Lepisosteus oculatus: one gene and its partners. The protein of the gene in region 1 interacts with the protein of each later gene in a biochemical or structural test. Links are inferred from orthologs where the notes say so. Each region holds a gene or a part of one and is shown in the gene's direction. Other genes may lie near its edges.

Region 1 (7,217 bases):
TGTGTTTTCTTTCTTCTTTTCAGCATGGAATAAACCTGTTACTTGTTCCTTTGCAGCCTGCGTATGTTGACGCAGCTCCCCACCTGAACTGCTTCAACCGTATAAGAAACTTACGGAAACTGTGGCAGGAGATGTACCGTATGCACCTAGATGAAGTAGATCACGTTCAACTATTCATATTTTGGACAGAAATCAAATATTTTCTGAAGCCGTGCTACTAATTCTGGAATTTGTGCCGGTTGCCCCTTTCCCTCTTAGTTGGACACTGCTTCTCCTCTTCCTTCGCCTCTGGCATTCCTTCCTTTTTCCTTTTCTCTTCAGGCGTCTCCGCACCTTCCCTTCTGAGTGGTAGTAGCCCTCATCACCTCAGAAGTGGGCTCTAGACCTCTTCTCCCAGGGCTTCTTGCTTACTTCTCTCTAGCTCTGAAGCAGGTAGAACACAGTGTGTTCTGGTGTTTTCCTTTATCACATGCTGTTTCACTGTTGCCTTTCTCTTTGCGTATTGTGTCACAATATACGTCCGATGAATATCATCTTCATCTTAATACATTATGAGGGAACATGCAGTAGATATCCAGCTCGCTTTCCTTTATTCTTAGACATACTTGCTGAAAAGGTCATAAAATTTTACTTTCCAGCCTCCTTTTGCCATTTAAAAGAACACTCCACCTGAACTTGAAAAATTCACCAGCGAAGATCTTGCCGACACTGAGTCTGCGCTTAGCAAATAGAAACTTTGTTTTTGTTGAAGGTCACAGAGCAGAGCGGAAATATGTCCACAGCTGTGCATGCTTTTTAACAGAGTGGAACCATTAAAAACATTTCACAAATGGGTGGAAAAAAAACTATGCAAAATGCTTTGTAATCTTTTAATGTCTGCTTTAGGAGTAACTGTAGATGGAGACAGTTTTTCACCACCACCCCAGCCTCTTAAAGAGTGTCGGGGGATTTTTTAAATACATTTTTATAATTGTTTGCAACACCTCTGTGATATTTGAAAACTTGACTTTATTCATTTCTTTTTTTTTATGTTCAACTGCAGGTCCCGGAGTTGCTGGCTATCTTACCGCTGGGACAGGATCCACAGTCCTATCTAGTGTGCCCCCCCCTGTTGACAATGACGTTGGAGACTTGGGCTGAAAGGCTTCAGTCTTTCGAGCTTGACAGCGACCTGTGGAACATGAAGTGGAGACTTCCCCAGTCCATAGGATTCTGTTCAAAGCGTTGTTGCCTTTTTTTGTTTTTTTTTTTGGTCACAGTGACACAAGCATAATTTACTTTTCTACGAATATATTTTTTATTTGGGAGAAAGGAGAGAAAACAAAAAGATCAAGGAAGTCATTCCTGTCCTCTCGACCTTGTCAGTTTTGATACACAGCCCCCCTGCCCCTTGAAGAAAACGCCAAACAAGATGTGTCAAGCAGAGGCAAGCATTTGTCTTGCCCTACTTAACGTGTTATCGGTTTACAAGACTGTGAATCTGATTTATAAATTGTTTTCCTAATTTTTATAATGTTGTTTTACAGTGCTAAAGATAAAAAGAAAACTCGACTGTGGTGTTTTATTACAGTCTACTTGTACTGCTCTAGAAACAAAAAACCTGTCCACCACCTCCACCATCAGTTGTGGATCTCGCTGTGTGCAGCACTGTCTCTGAAATCTAGTTGTAATATTGACTGTTCATTTGATCAAGTCCTGCACTTCTCTGCTTCTGCTGTACCTCTTCCCAAACCTTCTTTCATATTTTTTTCCCCCCGGAGTACAAAAAGCACTAGATATTTCTACTCACAGTATAACTGCCTTTACAAACTTATATGAGCTTCTGCAAAAAAGAGGAGGAACAATAATATTGACTCGGATTTAAAATATTATGTAAAAGACTAGTGCGTTTGTGAAATGTTCTATATAATATGCCGTATATAAACTTTCTATATTGAATGTACATTAAGAAGAAAAAAAATCAGCCACTCCTGTACATAAAATTTTAAGAATAAACAAAGGGAATACACATTATCGTGTTCTGTGTCTTAACATTTGGCCTGCATTTATTACGCTTCAGTGTTTTCAGCCACTAGCCTGAATTCTTCTCAAGGAGTCTTTAAGTTAGCCAACTAACTTAATTTCACTGTGATCATCATTCAAGAGACAATGACATTTGAATAGCCAGTTTTTTCACAAGAACATGTTACCTTTTAATCAGTGATTGTCTTGTAACAGAGACACTTATTAAAGGATCACCCATATGCAAAAATAAAGCTCCAGGTATCCTATTACACTGTATAACACTTAAAGCAATTTTATGCATTATAGAAAAAGGTCAGATATGATCGTTTTGCATTAATAGATGATGGTGAGTAAAGTAATGTTAAGTAAAGTAAATGTTAGCAAACAATACATGACCTTAGGATCACTTTTTTATAATTTCTTATGAATACATTTGTTATGTTTTTGATGTTTGCAAATTATAACTGTTATGTGAAAGCTGCTTTTTCCTAGTAAGGGTCACAGCAAACCAGGATTCTATCCCAGAAGGAAAGAAAGGAAGTGTGGCCTACATTCTGGATGAGACACCAGTCACTGAGAACACGTACACAAGCACACAGGGACAATGTAGATTCAATTTATAGATGCTTCTCTGGAGCACAATATCTCATGAACACAGAGAACGTATTCCAACTCTACATGGCAGGAACCCTGATTGATTCAAAATCAAATCCAGGACACGTGCTTTTTATAAAGATTACATGTTGCAGAAATTCATGCACGTCAAATATAGCGGAGCGGTGACTCTGTGGCTAAGGATCTGCGCCAGTGGCTGGAAGGTTGCTGGTTCGTATCCGAGGCCAGCAGAGGAATCCTACTCCGTTGGGCCCCTGAGCAAGGCCCTTAACCCCAACTGCTCCAGGGGCGCCATATAAATGGCTGACCCTGCACTCTGACCCCAAGCCTCTCTCCCAGTCTGTGTGTCTCATGGAGAGCAAGCTGGGATTTCATTTATTATCTACTGTTCCCTTCCTGATGGCTTTGTTTGGTAGACAGTTTGGTACCATATGTAACTTATAAACATATTATTAACATATAAACAAATAATTTACATCACTACAATTTTAATACTTTTGCATTACAAAAATAAAAACTTGATTTCTTGGCTTAAGGCTCCCCAATCTCTTGTCCATATGTCCTTTTATACACCTTAAACATTACTTCTGTTAAACGTCTCTTTCTACTGTACATATATATATATAACAATTCAAAATACTTGTCCACAAATACTAAAATAATTTTTCTAGCAGCAAACCCGTTTGTTCCCGTTTTGCTCAGCTTTTTGTCAACGATGTCGTTTTAAACAGGTCAACATTTACAGTATCTCTTTGCACCCAGTAGCATTCCAGTTCAAGTGTGAACCAGTGCGTGGGGTAGTGTTGTGTGGCTTTGTTGTGATTTGGTTAATTTTGCTCTTTGCTAGCAGCGCTGGCCTCACGTCAGTGACTCTACTGCAGCTGACAGTAGCGTGTGGAACTGGGATCCTTGTCACTGTTCCTGTTGGACTGAAAACGTCCCTCTATTCCGCTCCTTTTCAAATAAACTGCGTAGTTTTGCATAGTTACTGTAGATAGAAACAGCTCTTTAGCTACTTATGTTTATCTGAGGTATAAAACACTATTCAAATACCAGTAAAACGCTTTACTATTGCAGTCGTATATGTTTTTTGTCGGAAAATCCTGCTTAAAGAAAATCTTCTCAATAGTAATCCTCTCATTTGTACGACGTTAAATTTAAAGCTGAAAACATCTCTATTGATGTGCTTTTTTAAATCAACTGCACTGTTTTGAACAAGGTTCTGTAGATATAAGAGTTCGTTTGCTAAACACGCTAATCTGAGTAATAAAACACTATTCAAACACCAGTAAAACAGGTTTACTATTGCAATCGAATTATTTGTGTCAGAAAACCCTGTAAAGAACCTCTTCTAGATAGGTATCCTCTAATTTGCACTACGTAAAACTTAAGTCCATGTTGCTTATAAACAAGTATAATCAATTAAAACAGCATTGCGAGTCGCCAAATCCAATGCAATACCTGCTATTGCACACCCACTGCGAAAGGAAAGACAATCTCACGTGCTACTGTTTGGAGGGAGCAGCTTCTCCTCCAGCTGGGCATGACGTCAGACAGAGCGACGCGAGATACCGGTTCTGGGCAGGAAGTCCGGCGCCGGACAAGGAGGTGGAGGTTTGGCGCCAATCAGTGGCAAATCGAAAATACCCTGTGTTCTTTCTTTAGGGAAATTGTTATGATGTATCTATCTCAACGAATGACTTGTTTTGAGAAGACGCTCCCTTTTTTCTTTTCTCTTCGTTGTTGAGTGTGAAACTCAAGACGGCGATACTAGCCGAACACTGGATTGTCAACCCGGACTAAAAACGCGAAACGCTGAAATACGAGCTCGCAGGATCTTGTATTGTAACTCCCGGTTTATTTTATGCACTTGCTTGTGGACACGGTGTGTTGAACCGGGACGTGGTAAGTTCAGCATTACTGAATTATTTCCGCACATCGCTGACTTCACGTGTACAGCTGTTTGAAAAATAGACGGGTTGATAGTTACTGTTTGAGCTTGTCCGCTTTGAAATTGATGAACATTGATCGCATTGAGCAAGTACCGCAAGTTGTCAGTAAATCGTGGCTTTGCTCAGCTGTAGTTCCGTCATGTGATCGTATTGTTATGTTCCGTTCCTTTTCCCACAGTGAATTTTGGTTGGTTTCTTATTTTGGTGTTTTGAAATGCCGTTGGACCTTATTTGTTGTGGATTATTCTCTATTACATTTTATTATTGTTACACCTGTATTTAATTAACTGTTCTTCAAGAGAAGATGAGAGTCCGATGACTGGTGGGCTCTTATTCATTAGAACAAAGACGAAACAAGAGCAATCAGTTTTAGACGTATTCAGTTCCATAATATTACAATTATTACCCCTACATTGCCTTGTGTGTTAACTGTTCTGAAAATGTTCTCAAACTGTAACATCAAGGTGCAGTTATGCTGACCCTATTTTTAATGTAACTGAGTGCAGGAAAAACAATGATGTACCTTATGCGGCAGGAGTTTCAGTCTTGCGATATGATCGTTTTTAATAATAATAATTGCTTACACTTGACACTCCACTCAAAACTCCACTCTGGACACTCCACTCAAAGCGCTTTACAGGTAATGGGGATCCCCTCCACCACCACCGATGTGCATCATCCACGGCAGCCATAGTGCGCCAGAACGCTCACCACACATCAGCTATCAGTGGGGAGAAGAGCAGAGTAATGTAGCCAATTCATAGATGGGGATTATAAGGAGACCATGATTGGTAAGGGCCAATGGGAAATTTGACCAGGATGCCGGGGTTACACCCTTACTCTTTTCGAGAAAAGCCCTGGGATTTTTAATAACCACAGAGAGTCAGGACCTCGATTTTACGTCTCATCCGAAGGACGGCGCCTGTTTACAGTATAGTGTCCCCGTCACCATACTGGGGCATTAGGACCCACATGGACCGCAGGGTGAGCGCCCCCTGCTGGCCCCACTAACACCTCTTCCAGCAGCAACCTTGGTTTTTCCCAGTAGGTTTCCCATCCAGGTACTGACCAGGCTCACACCTGCTTAGCTTCAGTGGGTTGCCAGTTGTGAGTTGCAGGGTGATTGTTTTTGTTTGCGAAGGAACAGGTAACGGGTTTATTCCATGCTGAAAAGGAAAGAAAGGAAACGCAACGTTTCGGCTGTGGAGCCTTCTTCAGGTGTGAGAAAGACAGGGCAGGCAGCAAAGATTAAATAGCACAGGAGAACAAAAGCTGGGAGAGGGGCGAGATAGAGAGGCCACTCAGGAAATGCATATCGGAGAGGGGTGAAGGAATGTGTGAAGTCGAAACCTGTATGAGAATAGAGAAGATTACATGAAAATAAGTTGTCTTTGAGAGAAGGGGGAAGGTGTGAACCTAGTTTCAGGATGCGTTTCGTTTCTCCTGAAAACTAGGTCCCCTTCTCTTAATGGCAGACTTATTATCACGTAGTCTTCTCTATTCTCATACAGGTTTCGACTTCAACCCTCTTCACTTTGCACCACCTGAGTGGCCTCTCTGCCTCTCCCTCCTCCCAGCTTTTGTTCTCCTGTGCTGTTTAATCTTTGCCGTCTGCCCTGTCTTTCTCACACCTGAAGAAGGCTCCACAGCCGAAACGTTGTGTTTCCCTTCTCTTCATTTCAGCGTGGAATAAACCCGTTCCCTTTTCCTTTGCAGCCTACACCTGCCGACGCTGCTACCTACTTGAACTCCTGTCATTTCTGTTTGTTTAGAAACATTGAATATAGGATGTCCACGGAAGATAAAGGAGTATTCCTCGTGAAGTTTGTGAAGACCAGCGAAGAAAGATCAGAGCGTGCCGTGAAAGCCTTTGAGGTAAGGAGTTCCTTTGACTGCTGCCTGGACTGTTGTTTGACTTTGTGTCTGACAGCTGTGAATACACAATAGACTCAAGGTTCTAACAGACAAGCCAGGCTTTTCCAGAAGGTTTGGTTCTAATGACTTGTGCCCGCTAATATGATGTCAGCTTGACTGTGGTTGGGTAGCCTTAGGGTTAAAACAGAATGGCCAAGGTAATAGGATAGCAGTTTGCTTTTCAGGCAAAGGATTTGGAGTATAAAAGTAATTTATATACACACACCTGAAGAAGGTCCCATAGCTGAACTGTTGCTTAATTTCTTCTCTTTTCAGCATGGGATAAACTAAACGTGTTCCTAAGTAATTTATATGTCCCACTAATGGATCACTTATAGCATTGCTGTTTTTAATATGCGTAAATGACATAACCAGCCACATGACCTAAATTTATATACTGCTTATTAGTTGTGGATCAACTGGAACCACTTCTAAATCTAAAGTGTTCTGAGATCCTTTTGGGATGGAGGAAATTGTAGTGGAATGGAATTTATTATTGTCAAAAGCTTATTAGTCTAATTTTAATTCCGTCTTACTGTTTCCTTAGGAGATGTTGCTAATGGAATCTGTATCCCACACATTACTGTATTCTGGTTTTCATCGTTTCTAAATTCATCACAAATCATTTTTTGTCTTCCAGGCAATCAGAGAGCTGCAATCGGAAAAATACCTCCAAAATATAGATGAGAAGGAAGCCCTCCTTTTAAAACACAATGACAAATCCCTCTATGT
Region 2 (7,718 bases), on another chromosome or scaffold:
TTCTAGGTAGTATAGCCTACTGTATTTCACAAACATAGGATACAAAAAAGCTTCTGAAATGATGCAATGAGAACAACGACTGTGATATTCCAGGTCAGATAAATACGTCTTATTCTTGCGCTATTCATTCACAATTCAAATGAATCTGCAGTTGTTGAAGTCTTTTAAGTCTGTTCAGCAAGTTTTTAAGACCTGACATCCTATTATGATATTGAATGCATTCCTTCCTTTTGTAAGAAACAACAACATAATTTTGACTACCAAATTGTGTGGTTACATTGGTGGCAGACCATTTGTGTACACGATAGTTTTTCTTATGTACATTTTGTATAAGACAGATATCAACTGAGTTCTAGTTAGAAAAGTAATTCAGGCAGGCCTTTTCTGAAGATAGAAAAGAATGCAGTTGTATTTCATGTAATGTACAAATTACAAATGTTTGTGTGAATCTGGAAAAACACTCTTTTGTGAAATATATAAAACAAGACGTGACCTATACCCCTTAAAACTACTCAGTGGGGCTGTGGAGTAATCCCCAGTATTGTGTGATATTTGTGTTGTCTTACTCTTACTCTGAGAAAATTATAAAAATAAAAACAGTTATAATATATCTGAGCAAAACCAGACTCAAAACCCTCTTCTTCAGAAAAGCCTTTACTTAACTGGTTCCATTCTTCACCCCTCTGCTTTTCTTAGTACCACCATCCACGGTCTCCTCTATATGTTATTGTGTTTTATCTTGTGTATTCTTCTTATTTATTGTTGTTGTCATCCTGTAAAGCGCTTTGAGAAGCCACGTTTAAAGGCACTATATAAAATAAAGTTTATTATTACTCCAACAGTTCCTTTTCCTGTTGATTTAAAACATTTTTGCTTTGATGGATTATAAAATGTCACTTTCAAGTATCATGATCGTTCATAATTTAATCAATGCTTTTTTCTTGGATTAACTAGGTTGAACTGGTTAATTTTCTTAACAAGGAGCCTATATAAAGGGGCTCTTGTATAAATCAAAGTAAGGATCTTGGATGAAAGTAAACATTCATTTTGGGGGCTTCTTTTTTCTTAAGAGGCCTCCAAACCCGCTGATTTCTTTTTAAAATCTCAGGAAAAGGATAAAACGTACACCACTTAATCCCATTATCTTGAGTTTCTCCCAGCTGGCATCTTGTGTCATATACTAATATAAGCAGCACACTATCTGATAAGATTTTCAGGCTATATAGATCTCAAGTTGCTTGAAACTTGCTTGAAAACAGTGGAATTCAAAGTAAAAAATGTACCATCTCATCCCATGAGTCCAAATAAAGTAATACCATCTTACTGTACTTCCAAACTGAACAGACCATTTCAGGTTTAATCAAAACCTTTTATATTTCATTTAAGACTTAGGAAATGTAATTCCAAGAAGCAGTCTGCATCATAATCACAAATACTTCCTTAACCAGGTGGAACCGAAAACAGTAGTACTGCATGGACAAGAATTTACATGAGAAGAAATTGCCCTAAACATTTTGTGTGTACAATTTCTATTAATTCCACATGAATTTTCATCTTTATTAGTGTAAGGTATGTTATTCGCAGGAAACTAATGTAGAAAGAGAAATTACACAAGTAGCCACTGCCACTTCTGATCTTCTAAGTTTTGTGTTCTGTGTTGTTCGGAAGCCAAAAAGCCAGGTTAATTAGAAGATTGTGAAGGAAACTGCATTCCGATTAATTTAGCTAATCTTTTATACAAAACCTGCCCATTACAGTGAATGGTGCAAAAATAATCGCTTGAAAAGATGGAATCAATGTTTAAAAAAAAACATGTGCTTAAGACATGATTAGTGTGCTCCCTTGTGTCATTGTACAAAACCTTGAAGCCTTTTCCCTACTAAAGCCCTAAATCATCCACTGGTAACAAAGCACAAAAAAATGAAAAAGCTGCCAATCCAGAGCACTGCTCAAATATGGGAGTTTTATTACAAATACCCAAGGATTTGTTTTAAAATATAAATCTGTAAAACACCGCCACATGACTGTACATGTAATTTACATCATACAATCCAGGAACGTTACAATGCAGCTCATTTTGTACAATAGCCCTTGGCCACAATACACAAATAGTTTTGGCAGTTATACTTAACTTTAATGTCTAAAGAAAGAAGAGGAACAACAATTACATTATCAAATGACGGCAAAATACATACAGGACTGTACAAAAACAGCTTCGTATGTAAAGCTTAGCTTGAAACGGTCATCATATTGTACGACTTGGAAGGGCTAGACCTTCCGAACCTGAGTTCTTCCTTACAGCTGTTTCTGTCCACCACACTGGGATTCACAATGGCGGGTGGCGTGGACTCGTACAGGACACAGATGGACCCATCCTCTCCTATACGATAGGAAACCTCGAACGGGTCGACCCACAGTGTCAGTTCACTGGGCAACAGCGTGAAGAGCTGCTCCCGGTTGAGTCCGATGGTGCTGGCGGCTTTTCCTATCAAAGGATCCATCTTGTGGTTGATCCGGATGCACCGGTAGCCCGAGCCCCTGCAGGGAGCCTGTGGGAACCAGTGTTGTTTGTAATGTTCTGCGGGAGCAAGAGAAGAAAGAAAGAAAGAAACGGTTGAACTTTCAAAATAGCATTTAAAAACAAACCACCCAACGTACATTAAAAAAAAGAGAAATATACCGGCGTCGAATTCCTTTAACACTTTCTGGGTCGCGTTTTTTTTTTCTGTGACAAAAGTAAGAAATGCTCATATCAGAGAATGGTTGTATTTGAGAAACGAAGTCTAGTCTAATGTCCTCGCCACTGATCGTTTGTAGCCCAGATTCAGAGTTCATAGACCCTTTCTAGTGAAGGGACTTTCATGTCCCGACAAGCCATAAATCAGGTCTTGGGAGACACCGATGGAGAAAATATCCTCAAAAGGCGGCGTTAAAACCGAACGATTCAAATATTTTTTTAAAAAAGTTAAAAGAGTTTATAAACCTTTGCTCACCTCCCAAGGCTTCTTCCAGAGACTGACTAAAACGTTGGAGTTGGTCTTCGGACAGGAAACCAGTTGTCCTCAGCAACCGGGTGATAAACTTCGCAGCTGTGGAGATCTCAGTTTTCATTTTATCGAGTGGGTAATTTTCTCATGAGCCGTCGAAAACCAGAAAAACAACCCGTGTTTGCACCTCCCAACAGACACAAATCGCTTTGTTGCAAGGCGAGAGACGGCTTTAGTGACCGAATAGCGATCAATCCACCGAAAAAAAGTCGGAATTTTAAGCGATTATTTTGGGAAGACGGAAAGCAAACTGAACAATAAGGCTGGGCCTGTCTGACGCTAAGCAATACTTTCCCTTTGTACAAAAAAGGGGGAAAAACTCCGATCAAAAACCGTTTAAACGTGTCCGTTCGTCAAGTGTAAGTATATAGATGAAATATAATGTATTTTAATCTGAAACAACTGCCTACTTATCGATTTTTTTTTGTTCTAATTTAACACAGTCTCTTCCACCCCCGCTAACCAAGTTAATCTCTCCTCTACCAGCAAAACTGCCCACTTACTCAGCTGGTAAACATTGTTGCGCGTCACAGCTCCGCTGCAGCCAATTGCATTGTGAGGTTGGGGGGGTGACGTCACAAAGCCCAGCTCGGCTCCTGCACGTACACAAACAAGCCCTAAGTAGCTGGACCTGGCAGGACGGGGAGACCTGTAACCGTTTTAGCAAATGAATAAAACGGAAGATCAGGGAGCAGACGTTATTCAAATGAAAGCAACAAACAACTATCGCAAATAAGCAGTGGTTAGGTCTAAACACGTAACCTTGAAAAAAAGCGTTTTCCACGGCGGATTTTTTCCCCTAGTTTTTGCTTTCAGCATAGAATAAACCTCTTCTTGACCCTTATACCCAGCCTTTCTAACTCCTTCGAATGAATACCAGAGTAATCGGAGAACATTTTAAATATATTTTTTTTTAGCAGAGGGATGTTACAGTTAAACTAATAACTTGCCCCCGTTTTTTGGAATTCACTTGTTATTTCTTTCATTGTTTTGTAGTATGTACAACAGCACTACTTTAAAAAAAATTGAGTACTATATTATTAAAGCTGCCCAAACTAGGCGTATTGATGTAGCTCCTGGTAATTATTCATGGTGATTTTAACAAAAGGTTTTCTACGAACCGAGTCTCTAAAAAAAAGGGAGAAACCACGTGGAGTTTCATGGAGAACGAAATAGAAAATAAAGCATGTATCCTTCCTAGCTTGGCATGCGAGTGACCGAGGTAAAATAATTTTGCTAAAGTGCACAAACACTGGAATACCAAAGCTACAGAAGACTACTGTTCTTTGATATTTAACATAAAGGAAACGCGTTTAATTATTCAAGAACAAATATCGAGGTCAGTTAAAACTGGAAGGAAAACATTAGGGGAACATTTAACACCTGGTCTCCCATACTGTAAGGGCAAAATGTGTGATTGCAAAGAGTTCAATAAAAACACAATAATACGCTTCGTAGCTATCCTACTATGCCCTGTTCTGTTTTGTTGAAGATAACTTCCGCTCTAACGGCGGAAACAAAATGTGTCCTATTCGCTTTCCGTAGACAGCAACTGCCTTTTTCTCCAATAGAATCGCGTCTTACTTCACAGTTATTGTTAGAACCTGCGATATGATTGGCTGTGGTACTTGAGACGTCTAGAGTGCAGAAATCAATATTGTAAAGTATGTAGAATGAGATGAGGATGTGTTAGTTCGGGTCTGCTTTTGCAGTCTGAATATGAGAATTGTATAATTGAAGTGGCACTACGCAATGGAATTGTGTGATTTAATATCAGGTTTGTTTTCAGGACGTATTCAGTTTTATTTCAGATACTTTATTTTCTGTTTCTCCCAAAAAGTTAGCGAAGTTTTGTTTGAGTTAAAAATGTGTGAGCAGTAGTTCAGTCATTCCCACTTTCTAATATAATATATATTAAATATTTAATATATAGCTTTACTTCTTTATATAATTGTCCATTTACGAATGATAAGCATTTTGTTAAACGTTAAGATAAACCCGATGTGTTCATCCTTCTTTTCTAAAGAGGATTTAAAACATCTCATTTGCTTTCGGTTTTCGGTGTAACCTCCCCAGTTTGTCACGGAAATTAATATTTTTGAATTTTAAAAACTTTTTTCTAAACATGCTTTTGCCTTAAGCGCTTTCGGTTTTATTGATATTCGAAGGTATTCGGTCCTTACCCGACCAGAAAATATGTTTTTTCTTCTTTCCGCCATTCATAAATTACGGTCCGGGTACACATACTGTATACAGTGGGCATACAGTAAACACCAGGGTTAAAAGCTCTGGTGCTGATCGGAGAAGAAGATCTTTACTTATTGTGAGGTCTGTTATTTAGTTTTAATATTTTGTTTATTCTTTTCTGATCTTCCAGAGTACTGATTGTCAGGATGTCTGACTACAATATTTATGCGAACAGGAGAAATATCAGTGTTGCTCAAGACAAATTGGGTGCTTCGGTAGCGGGGCTTTCTGCCGTCACTGGACGACGTTCACCCGGAGACCATGGCATGGAGTGCCCTCCTCTGAAGCGCCATAAGGGAGCAGGTCAGAACGTGGCCGATTGCTTCGGAGAGGACGATGACTTTACACAAGATGATCTGGATGAGATTGATACTATTGCATCCCAGGCATTTACTGAGCCTGTGGAAGCGAACAAACCTGAACAAACCACGAAAAGCAGGCCAACAGCAGAGGTCAGAACTACCTTTGCTATTGGCAACAGTTATCATGTGGGCAGCGATGGTGGGCTGAGCAAGTTGGGCACCTCTGACAGATCCACAACCAAGGAAACCTGCGGTATGCTTTTAAAATGTTGTTCATAACACATTAGAGTGCATACATGTTATCTTGTATAAAATTAATTGTAATGCAGGGGAGTGGAAACTATCAGCAGCTTTTCTAGTAGAACAAAAGTATTTGTTGTGCAATGTATACAATTGTTACATTAACTCCCCTGTTTCATTTAGTAAGTGTTAACCAGTGACTTTGCAAAGGAACCACTCCTGCTGCTCGCTCATTTCATGATTAAAAAGACTGTGGGTTTGGGATTTCCTGACAGGAAATGGAGAACAATTCAGGAGAGGCAGAGAAGCATTCTACGAGTCATTTGAAGCTCAACATGAAGAGCTTAAGAAAAAGGTGAGCTTGCACTAAATTAAATGTTTTTTGAAAAATTGGAATATGGCTTAAAGGTTCTTCTTATGTACAACTGTGACAGTATTGTCACTTTATGCTCAATTTTTTAAAAAATCTCAAATTTCAGTACTATGAAACACCATAGTTACTTCAAGTATTCTATTAGACATCGTTACCCACTCCTTGAGTTGGGATAGGGATTCTGTCTAGTGTCATGGAGAATTTTGGTCAGTTTGGCTGTTGAAGTCCATATTGAGCAGACATTTCCTACTCATTAAAAATGTCTGAGTTGAATGAACGTATGCCGGTCATGAGTTAACAATAAAGCCCGCAAGAACTATTTGGTTTTTTTGTGCATTCCCAGCTTGCTGGGTTTTCTTCAAAGTCTTTGATTGGAGCTGTAACTCACGTATCTTATGCTTTTTAGCAACGTGAAAAGCTGCAGGGGTCTTAGTTAATTAGGGATCTTGGTTAATTGCTTGGTTAATTGGTCAGCTTGAGGCTGACCTAACGGCTTGACTTTCTGACCTTGTTTACACCTGATATGGTAAGAAATTGATACTGTCCAATCAGAAATGTATGTTTGTGTCTGAAAATTTTGCTCATCTTCAAGAATAAAAGCCTGTTGCTGTCCTTACGAAAGTGAGTGAGACACAAGGTTAACCTGTTAAGTCTGTCTGTCCTCCTTTCTTTATTGGAATAAAGAAATCTCAGCTTGACTTACCAAAGTCGTGTGGTTAACTCGGAAAAGGGTCTAACGAGCGATATCTCTTTTCTTTCTCCCTCCCCTCCCTGTCAGCTGAAGGAAGCGGAGTCTCAGCTGCTGATGAAGAACGGGGAGATCCGAGTGCTGCGGGACTCTCTGCAGCACACAGAGCAAGAGCGGGACAAGCAGAGAAAAGCCCAGCTCCTCTTGGAGAAAGAAAGAGCCAACATCCAGAGTGAAAAGGAGAAGGAGCTGGCAAAGAAGGTCAGCTCTATACATTTTGCATCTGTTCTCCCCACTGAGAACTGGTATGTGGGGAGCATACTGGCGCACTATGGGTGCCATCACGTCATCCGGGTGGGGGCTGCACATTGGTGGTGATAGTGGGATTACTCATTACCTGTAAAGTGCTTTGAGTGGAGTGTCCAGAAAAACACTGTACAAGTGTAAGGAATTCTTCTTCTTCTTCTGCAATCATGTTGGTTAGAATCACTGTGAGACTGGAGCAAAGTGGGGTCTGAAAGGCAGGTTCTCTGCCATTTTTATGTAGTGTTGAGTTGCACGTTGCCAGTTCACTTTCCACATATTGTCTGTTTTCTAAGTCTCAGCTGGTTATTCTTGGACACTGTTGGCTCTTTTAAAGCTAAAATGCTCAAAGGGTAGGGTTGCCATGTGGCTCAAAGTGTAAAAGTGCTCAGGCAGACTACGTGTTGAGATGAATTCCTCTCAGTCTCATTAATTGAGATTAATTAGATTACTAATTGGAATCTTCCTCCTTTCGCTAATTGACCGTGGGCGGGCCTCTGCAGGCAGCACCACTGTCC
Region 3 (7,109 bases), on another chromosome or scaffold:
GGAGGCGATGGACGCGACATGCAACCCGACGCACGGCTCCGGGAGCTCCGGTTTCTTGGCCCCTTACCGGGACCGATACACATTACGTAGCGGCACTCCACATGCACCTCCCGGGTCTCCTAAAATAGCGAAACTTTCTCGTGCCTTGCCCCCCTGATAAGTCTCTTTTTAGCTCCTCCTCGTCTGCATCTTACAACGCGTAAAATTGCCTCTCCTCGAAAGCGCCGGTCACATTTTAAACATCTATCCTACTTTACGTGTTCAAGGAATTTCTTATGCCACAGGTAAAAAAAAAAAAACAAAAAAGGCAAAACGGGAAAAAAAACTCTACCCCCCCTGCCCCCCTTTCCGCGCAAGACACGACCTGGGCGACAAGCGGCCCACAAACCTCAGGAAACACGTCACAGCGAGGGAGAACACGGGCGTGGAACAAAACAAGCTCGGGCACGCCTTCTTCCCAGCCACGGGCCTCCTCGCCTTGGTGTCTGAGGATCTAGTGCCACCTAAGGGGCTGCGGCAGAACTGCAGCCCGCTCCTGCTTTCTCACTTCCCAGATCGATCGGGGGGGCTTGTCGGCGCGGCCTGCTCCTTCTGTGCTGCCGGAGAGGCTGAGCCGATCGATTATCTCGTCCATGCGTGAAGGGGGCTCGGGGAATCGGCTTTAACTACATAGCTGCAGGGCAGTTGGCTCTAGAATATTTTCACAACAGGGTTGTTGATACTGGACGAATTGCCGATCTCAGTCAGAAATGTGGAATTTACAACTTACTCCAAATGCATCACGCTCTGAAGCAGTTTGAGACCTCACATTTTTGTACTCTCTCTCCTCATCTGTTTGCTGTTCAAGACTAAAAAGGTTTAGTTCCTCTAATCTGATACTGCTTTAAAGCCAGTAAATTAAACTCATTGCTTCTTCTTTGAACTGATTCCACAGAAACGATATCCTCCTTGCAATGGGGCAACCAAAACTGTACTGTATGTAGTATTCTAAAATGTAGTCATACTGCCATTGTCTAATTTGAACAACTTTTCTAAAGTTGACCTCAAAACCAAGCCCAACACTTTATTGGAGCTTTTTCTCTTGCTTTCACAGGCTGTCTGGATGTGGACACGGAGGTGTCAGCGTAAATGCCGAAACTGTTTTCATTAAAGTCGCTTATACAAATGAGAGCAGGCCTTTTTTCGCCATGTTCATTTAAGTTTGTTGTACATCATGTAACTAGTACTGGTACATCATGCTGGTCAGTGCGATACAACCCCTCTAGAAGAGCCAGTTGAACCTCAGCATACAAGGAAGGAGGAGCACACAGAGAAAACCCCCACAAATACAGGGAGAACATGCAAACTCCAGTCCAGGGCTTCAGAGCTTCAATGCCGGAGAACTTAGTACCCTGTAGTTGCTTTTACCTGGAGGTAATATTTTGCAGTGGTCTACATTAGGTTTGACTTCTCTACAGGTTCCAACTGAATGACCTCATCATTGGCTTAATTGAACTAATTTATCAGTTTCGCACAGCACTAAGGGGGGTGCTTTAAAGAGAAATAGGAAATCAGAAGACACACCTCCCTGTCCTATGGTGTAAATGTAATGTGGCATTCAATGTCATGACCAAATCTGCTGGAAGGCAGGCCTGAGTTTTGCATCAATCATCTTTATTCTGCCTTTTTTCAGCGATATGGAAATGACGCTATCAATCTTCCTGCTCTCGCTTTTCTCTGCCCTGCTCCCCGGTAACCGTTACAAGAACATTAAGGCATGTACCTCCAGATTGAGAGAGTTTCTTCCCGCAAACGGTCAGATTATTGAATTCTGCGTCTACTACCGTCTCAGACTGATGTTTTTTTTTCACATTACTCGTTGAAGAAAAAAAATGAGTTTCAAGTTGAGTGTTATTATTTGTTGTTAATTTGTCTCTAAGTTGATATTTCCTTGATATCTTTGTATGGAGCATACATGCAAATAAGCAATTAATCGCACTTGAGCGTGTGACAAGTAAACTGAGCTCTGACCTTTTGTGCAGACAGCACTTTAATTGCAATATCGATCCTTGTAGATCAGACACGAAGGATCTGGCTGTAGTAAAACTCTGGAACTGAACATATTGGAGAGAGCCGAAAGTTGCGTATCCCAGCCGTAACGGGACACGAAATCCTGTAGTCACTGCTTCTGCACAATTCGTGCAGACACATATTCATCCGGCTTACAGGATTTCATTATAGACTAGTCAATTATTGAAAAGTACTGCATTAGCTGTGTGCACGGCCATCTTGTTTATTTTGCTTCCGAGCACGAAAACCTCAGTACGGTCTTGCATGTTTATTCCAGAGAAGGATTCCTTAAAGTTCACCTCTTCTTGTTAACTCCTACTTCTACGGTGTTACGTATGCACCGATAACAAATACCTTCTTACTCAAATTAGAATCACTAAAAGGGAAAGTAATAGTTTCACCGCTCCGATAAAGCTTACATTTTGGACTACCGTAAATTACAAGTGAAAGATTATTCACTGTAATATATTATAGAACAGTTTACACAGATACGACACCTGAAGAAGGCTCCACGGCCGAAACGTTGTGTTTTTTCTCTCTTCTTTTTTTCAGCATGGAATATACCTATTACTTGTTACGATAGTATAACAACCTACTTCTTTTAACAACTCTAGGTATATACGACGTTCCTACTGTATATACCTTCATGAACACAGTACTTTAAAAGTGAAGTGCAACAATGTTTCATGATTTAAGCAGCTGGTTGAGCCGAGCACCTTAAAACGAATCGTATTACCTTCTCAGGAAATATATTTGAACCCAGTGCCATTTAAAAAAGTAATGACGTAAATAGCTCAGCATTACACATGAATTTAAAATGCTTGACAAAACAGGCATGTTTAAACGACATACTTGCCTTTACAGTGTTGGTGTCACAGTGTCCATGTTTTCAAAATAAAAAGAAAATTCGCAGGAAACGAAAAAGTAATGACCAGCGAAACGACGTCTCAAAGTAGAACGGGAATTACCGTTCCAGATAAAGATTTAATTCCACCTGAGGCAATCGTGGGTTGAACACTAATCACATTCAGGTGGGTATAGATCAAAGTGCACATACATTCACACAGGATGGTGTTTGCATGTTTTTTTTAACAAAGCCTTTTATCTTGCAGATGAATAAAGTGATACCTCCTTTCTGGTTTTTAAGAAGACCTTTATTGGTAAACATAATGCCAAAATAAAATTACAGTTTCGAAGTTATTTTTAAAAAATATTTAAAATATAAGATTCAAATTAAACAAATTTCTGTGTTGTCTGTGCTAAGCTGCTGTTGCACTGCAATTTCCCTCACGGGATCAATAAAGTATCTATCTAAAAAAAATATTCTAATTAGAATTATATATACAATATCAATAATTACAATCGCCATTTCCCTATAAATGATACATTGTCAGTCTTTGCCCACAATGTGCTTGAATCCGAAACGTTGTCCAAAGGATCGTCGTATTACAAAAACAGCAATATGACAAAAGTATTATTTCTTACTTTCCATTTTTATTAATAAAGCCTACGAAACTTTTATACTGCATTAGCGACATTTCAATAAAGATGACAATTTATGTAATTTGGGCAATGCTAATAAATCACGTTTCGGGTAAAGTATTAAATCACCCCCTTTTCGAAAAGCATACATATTTGATTCCGTGAGCATTAATTACGGTGTCAAACACAACACTTATTAACATTTTATTTTCACACTTCATCGAAAGCATGACGTCTCATCCCCCAGCAATCTCTTTAAAATTTTAAACTTCAGAAATGTGTGCCAGTGGGTGGAATTTCATGCCGTTCTGCACAATTCCGCCAATCAGCAACCGAGATAGTGACACTCTCTACGGTACACCAATCACAGCCCTTTATTCTGGACTTCGTCATATCAGAGACGGTCTATGGGCCATTTAGTTGTGTTAAGCCCGCCTTCTGTCGATTGTGGTCCAATGAGAAAGATGAATTTTCAGATTGTGGCCTATGGGATTAGAGTGGGCGGGCGGTTGAGTCCGGAGCGCCAAGAGTTTGAGTTGAGTAACCATAGGGCAAAGATGGCGACTATGGGTGAAAGTGTTATATTTTTTTCTTTTTGTATTGAAGGATAATCTGAGTTTTTGGTGTGCGAGAAGGTATTTTAGAGAGATTACGGATTGCAAAAATAGGGTAGGGCGAATTTGAGTTACCGCGTTGTGTGTAAGATAGTATTTTGACACCAGCCTGGTTTAAATGTTATCACTTGCTTGGCATTCAGCTCCTTGCATACGTGTTATGGTTACGTTTATAGATTTTGTAAATCTTTTGATAGTAACTGAACCAATTGGCTGAAAAAAAAACATGTATGTCATGCCAGACCTCAGCAGTGATCGACTAGCGGGCGAAAGACGTTGTGCGTTGTTATGTAGGTGATAAAAATTGAATCTACCAGGCGGTACAGATCCTTGTTTGTCACTTCTTTACGAAACGAGAAAAGCAATCGGGAGTCATGGTTTCCTTTAATTTGGTATTCGTGATTGACATTTCCGATCGGGGAAATAATAGGTCTGGCGATGGTGGCGTTCATATCAGACCGCATCTTCTGAAACAGGGCGTGCTGAAAATCCTCCTCTATTTCGGCTGCAGATTCGGTTTTGAGAAAGTCCGATGGGGCTATAAATTTTACGACGTTCACGGAGGCCGATGTATCGTATCCAGGGCTTCCGACTTCAAAGAACTTCTGGACAAGACTTTCGAGGATTTTGAAGGGGAATTTCAGGAGAAACTCGAGGAGAAAAGGGTTAGAAATACGGCAGCGGCCCCGGGTAACTCGCTCATAAACCCGGTCCGATCTGTCCACACAGTATTGAAAGAGACTTTACTGGATTTCCAGTGGGACAGACCAGATATTACCTCCCCGACCAAGATAGCGTTGCGTCCCAGAAGACGGCTCCGGGCTGAAAGTAAAATGACCCCACACCTCACTTTGGCAGAGGAGGACCTGTCGGGGAAGAGTCAAAATATTTTGTTCCTCGTCTCCGCCTGTCCGCGCTCCCGGGGGGAGGTGGAAGAGTTCCTGACGCGCCCGGGGGCCTGCGGAGAGCCTCGCAAAGAGCTGGCAGAGCGCATCCTGCCCAGGGCTCTCCAGGAGATGGTCGCCCAGAATAAAGTCGTCCTTCACTGGGTGGATGCAACAGTCAACTCCCATGTAAGTCGCTTTAATTTCCAAGAGTTGTCAAACTACCCGTTTACTTAGCGAAACCGCTCTTCAATGTCACCTTTTGGTCGGATTGATTCTATAATATAATTCTAATGTTCTTAACTGGGTGGAATTCAGCCTTTTGAGAGAGAGGAGTTTATCTGCCACCCGTACATGTGCATTGGGATTCTCCTTCGCGCTGTTCTCTTGTGGTGTGTACAGTGCAATAGACCACACCACACCGTAGGCACATTACATAATGATATAGTAAAGGATCAATAATGACCGTCGCACAATAGTACAGGTCAGTGAACACACACGGGACAGCAGATCTGTGACAGCCATTGAGACGTGCCGAGTGCAGGTGGGAGTCAGATGCTCCTCTGTGTACTTGCAGGTGTGCAGGCCTGCCGACCACACTGGCTGCGAGTTGGTGTCGGAGGTGCTGAGACAGGTCGGCGGGAGCGTCCTGCCCTTGGATGCTCTGCTGTGGCTGTCGGAGCCTGGGAAGAGCGGCCTCGGAGGACCGGCACAGAGCTGGGATCACGAGTGGCCTCTCGCCCGCGGAGGAAGAGAAGCCGTCTTCCCTCTGGACTCCAGCCTCAGCTGCCTTCTGTCTTCAGAGCAGCTATACCGGGTTGCCTTTCCCAGCCAGACTGGAGTGCTGCAGTGGGGAGCAGGTACTGAGCCTCCGACTCTTTAATCAGCTTAAATAACAAGTAACTCATGCTAGGTGAGAGTCTGACACCCAAGCAGAGGGAAAGATGGAGATCAATGTAAGGTAAATGAGAACTGCATCCTCGTATGACTGCTGTACATATTTTTCTTTGGGGTTTTGCTACTCCAAGGTGATCGTGATTTTATTGAGTCTTTTTGGTTTAGGAATGGATGTAAAGTTCCTGTTACTTTGATGTTACCCATCAGAGACATTTATTTTTTCCCCACTCTGGTCTAAGCTGTGCTTCACATGTCTTGCAACTTGCAACTTATAAAACCCGCAATGGCTTGAACTGCTGTGCATTGGGAGCATTTCTGCTCTGCATCTTGCAGTTGACAGTGAATGCCAGAGCTATGCATCCTCATTTCATGTGTGTTTTGCATGCAATGTACAGGAAAGGAGAGCAAGTCCTGTGCTGTCTCCCTGGAGCCCATGTCCCTCAGGCAGAGGGTGCTGCCCAGCTCGGTGAACATCACGCTTCACGGAGTTCTGTCGGAGTGGAGCGCTCCGGCCCTGGGGGGGCTGAGCTTGGAGGGCTGGGTGTTGCACGACTCCCGGGACCCTGCAGAGACGGCTGCCGAGTCTCTGTTCCTCCAGCTTCTGAACGAACTTTCTTCACAGGCTCTTCACATGGTGAGCGCTCGCTTGGGGAATTATTACACCGCAAAGAGTAAACGTTCCCCAAATATCATGCCTGGAAAAAAGCATGTGTGTGTCGATATCTGTTGTGGGGGGAACAAAACTCAAAATATATTCAGGTAGTTAACGTGAGAAGGTGTCATGGTCTCCTGAGTAAATGCATTTTCACGTCTTTCAAGTATGTTTGTTGCACAACATGTTTTTGTTATTTGGCTTGTTTTCTTACAAGGCACCAGCATGTGAAAGATTTTTTTGATGTTGTTTTTGTTGTGCATGTTTGGCAGTGAATCCCCAGCTGTTACCTTACTTTATTAAGCACATGTTCCTTGCTGTATAAGGACTCAGATGTTAAGTTCCGCCGTCATGTTGTAGAGGCACTGCTTGATCCTTGTCTATCCCAGTTTGCGGAGGTAGAAGGGAGTGACCAGGGCCCCCCCTGCACGGCAGTGTTGTCCCCTCTCTCGGCCTCCACGGGTCTGCTCACCGTCCTCCAGCCTCAGCTGGCTTCAGCCCAAGGCCTTGTGCTCCAGGGGGCCACTGAGC

The links.
Region 2: the proteins of topbp1 (region 1) and atrip form a complex in vitro, tested with the Homo sapiens proteins (2 studies listed by BioGRID). The link is inferred for Lepisosteus oculatus from reciprocal best matches to the Homo sapiens genes TOPBP1 and ATRIP.
Region 3: the proteins of topbp1 (region 1) and ticrr form a complex in vitro, tested with the Homo sapiens proteins (2 studies listed by BioGRID). The link is inferred for Lepisosteus oculatus from reciprocal best matches to the Homo sapiens genes TOPBP1 and TICRR.

The regions. Positions count from the first base shown.
Region 1 is NC_090701.1:16,016,957-16,024,173, reverse strand, and holds the start of topbp1 (DNA topoisomerase 2-binding protein 1), read left to right. Parts: upstream 1-4,193; 5' UTR 4,194-4,524; intron 4,525-6,343; 5' UTR 6,344-6,359; coding exon 6,360-6,446; intron 6,447-7,125; coding exon 7,126-7,217. Other genes in the region: dnaJ homolog subfamily C member 13, read left to right, coding at 1,043-1,140. UniProt on the Homo sapiens protein: Scaffold protein that acts as a key protein-protein adapter in DNA replication and DNA repair. Composed of multiple BRCT domains, which specifically recognize and bind phosphorylated proteins, bringing proteins together into functional combinations.
Region 2 is NC_090699.1:61,370,083-61,377,800, reverse strand, and holds the start of atrip (ATR-interacting protein), read left to right. Parts: upstream 1-4,697; 5' UTR 4,698-4,824; intron 4,825-5,424; 5' UTR 5,425-5,440; coding exon 5,441-5,849; intron 5,850-6,111; coding exon 6,112-6,191; intron 6,192-6,987; coding exon 6,988-7,158; intron 7,159-7,718. Other genes in the region: protein BTG1, read right to left, coding at 2,229-2,578, 2,994-3,111. UniProt on the Homo sapiens protein: Required for checkpoint signaling after DNA damage. Required for ATR expression, possibly by stabilizing the protein.
Region 3 is NC_090700.1:60,756,482-60,763,590, reverse strand, and holds the start of ticrr (treslin), read left to right. Parts: upstream 1-4,088; 5' UTR 4,089-4,519; coding exon 4,520-5,218; intron 5,219-5,606; coding exon 5,607-5,889; intron 5,890-6,321; coding exon 6,322-6,560; intron 6,561-6,967; coding exon 6,968-7,109.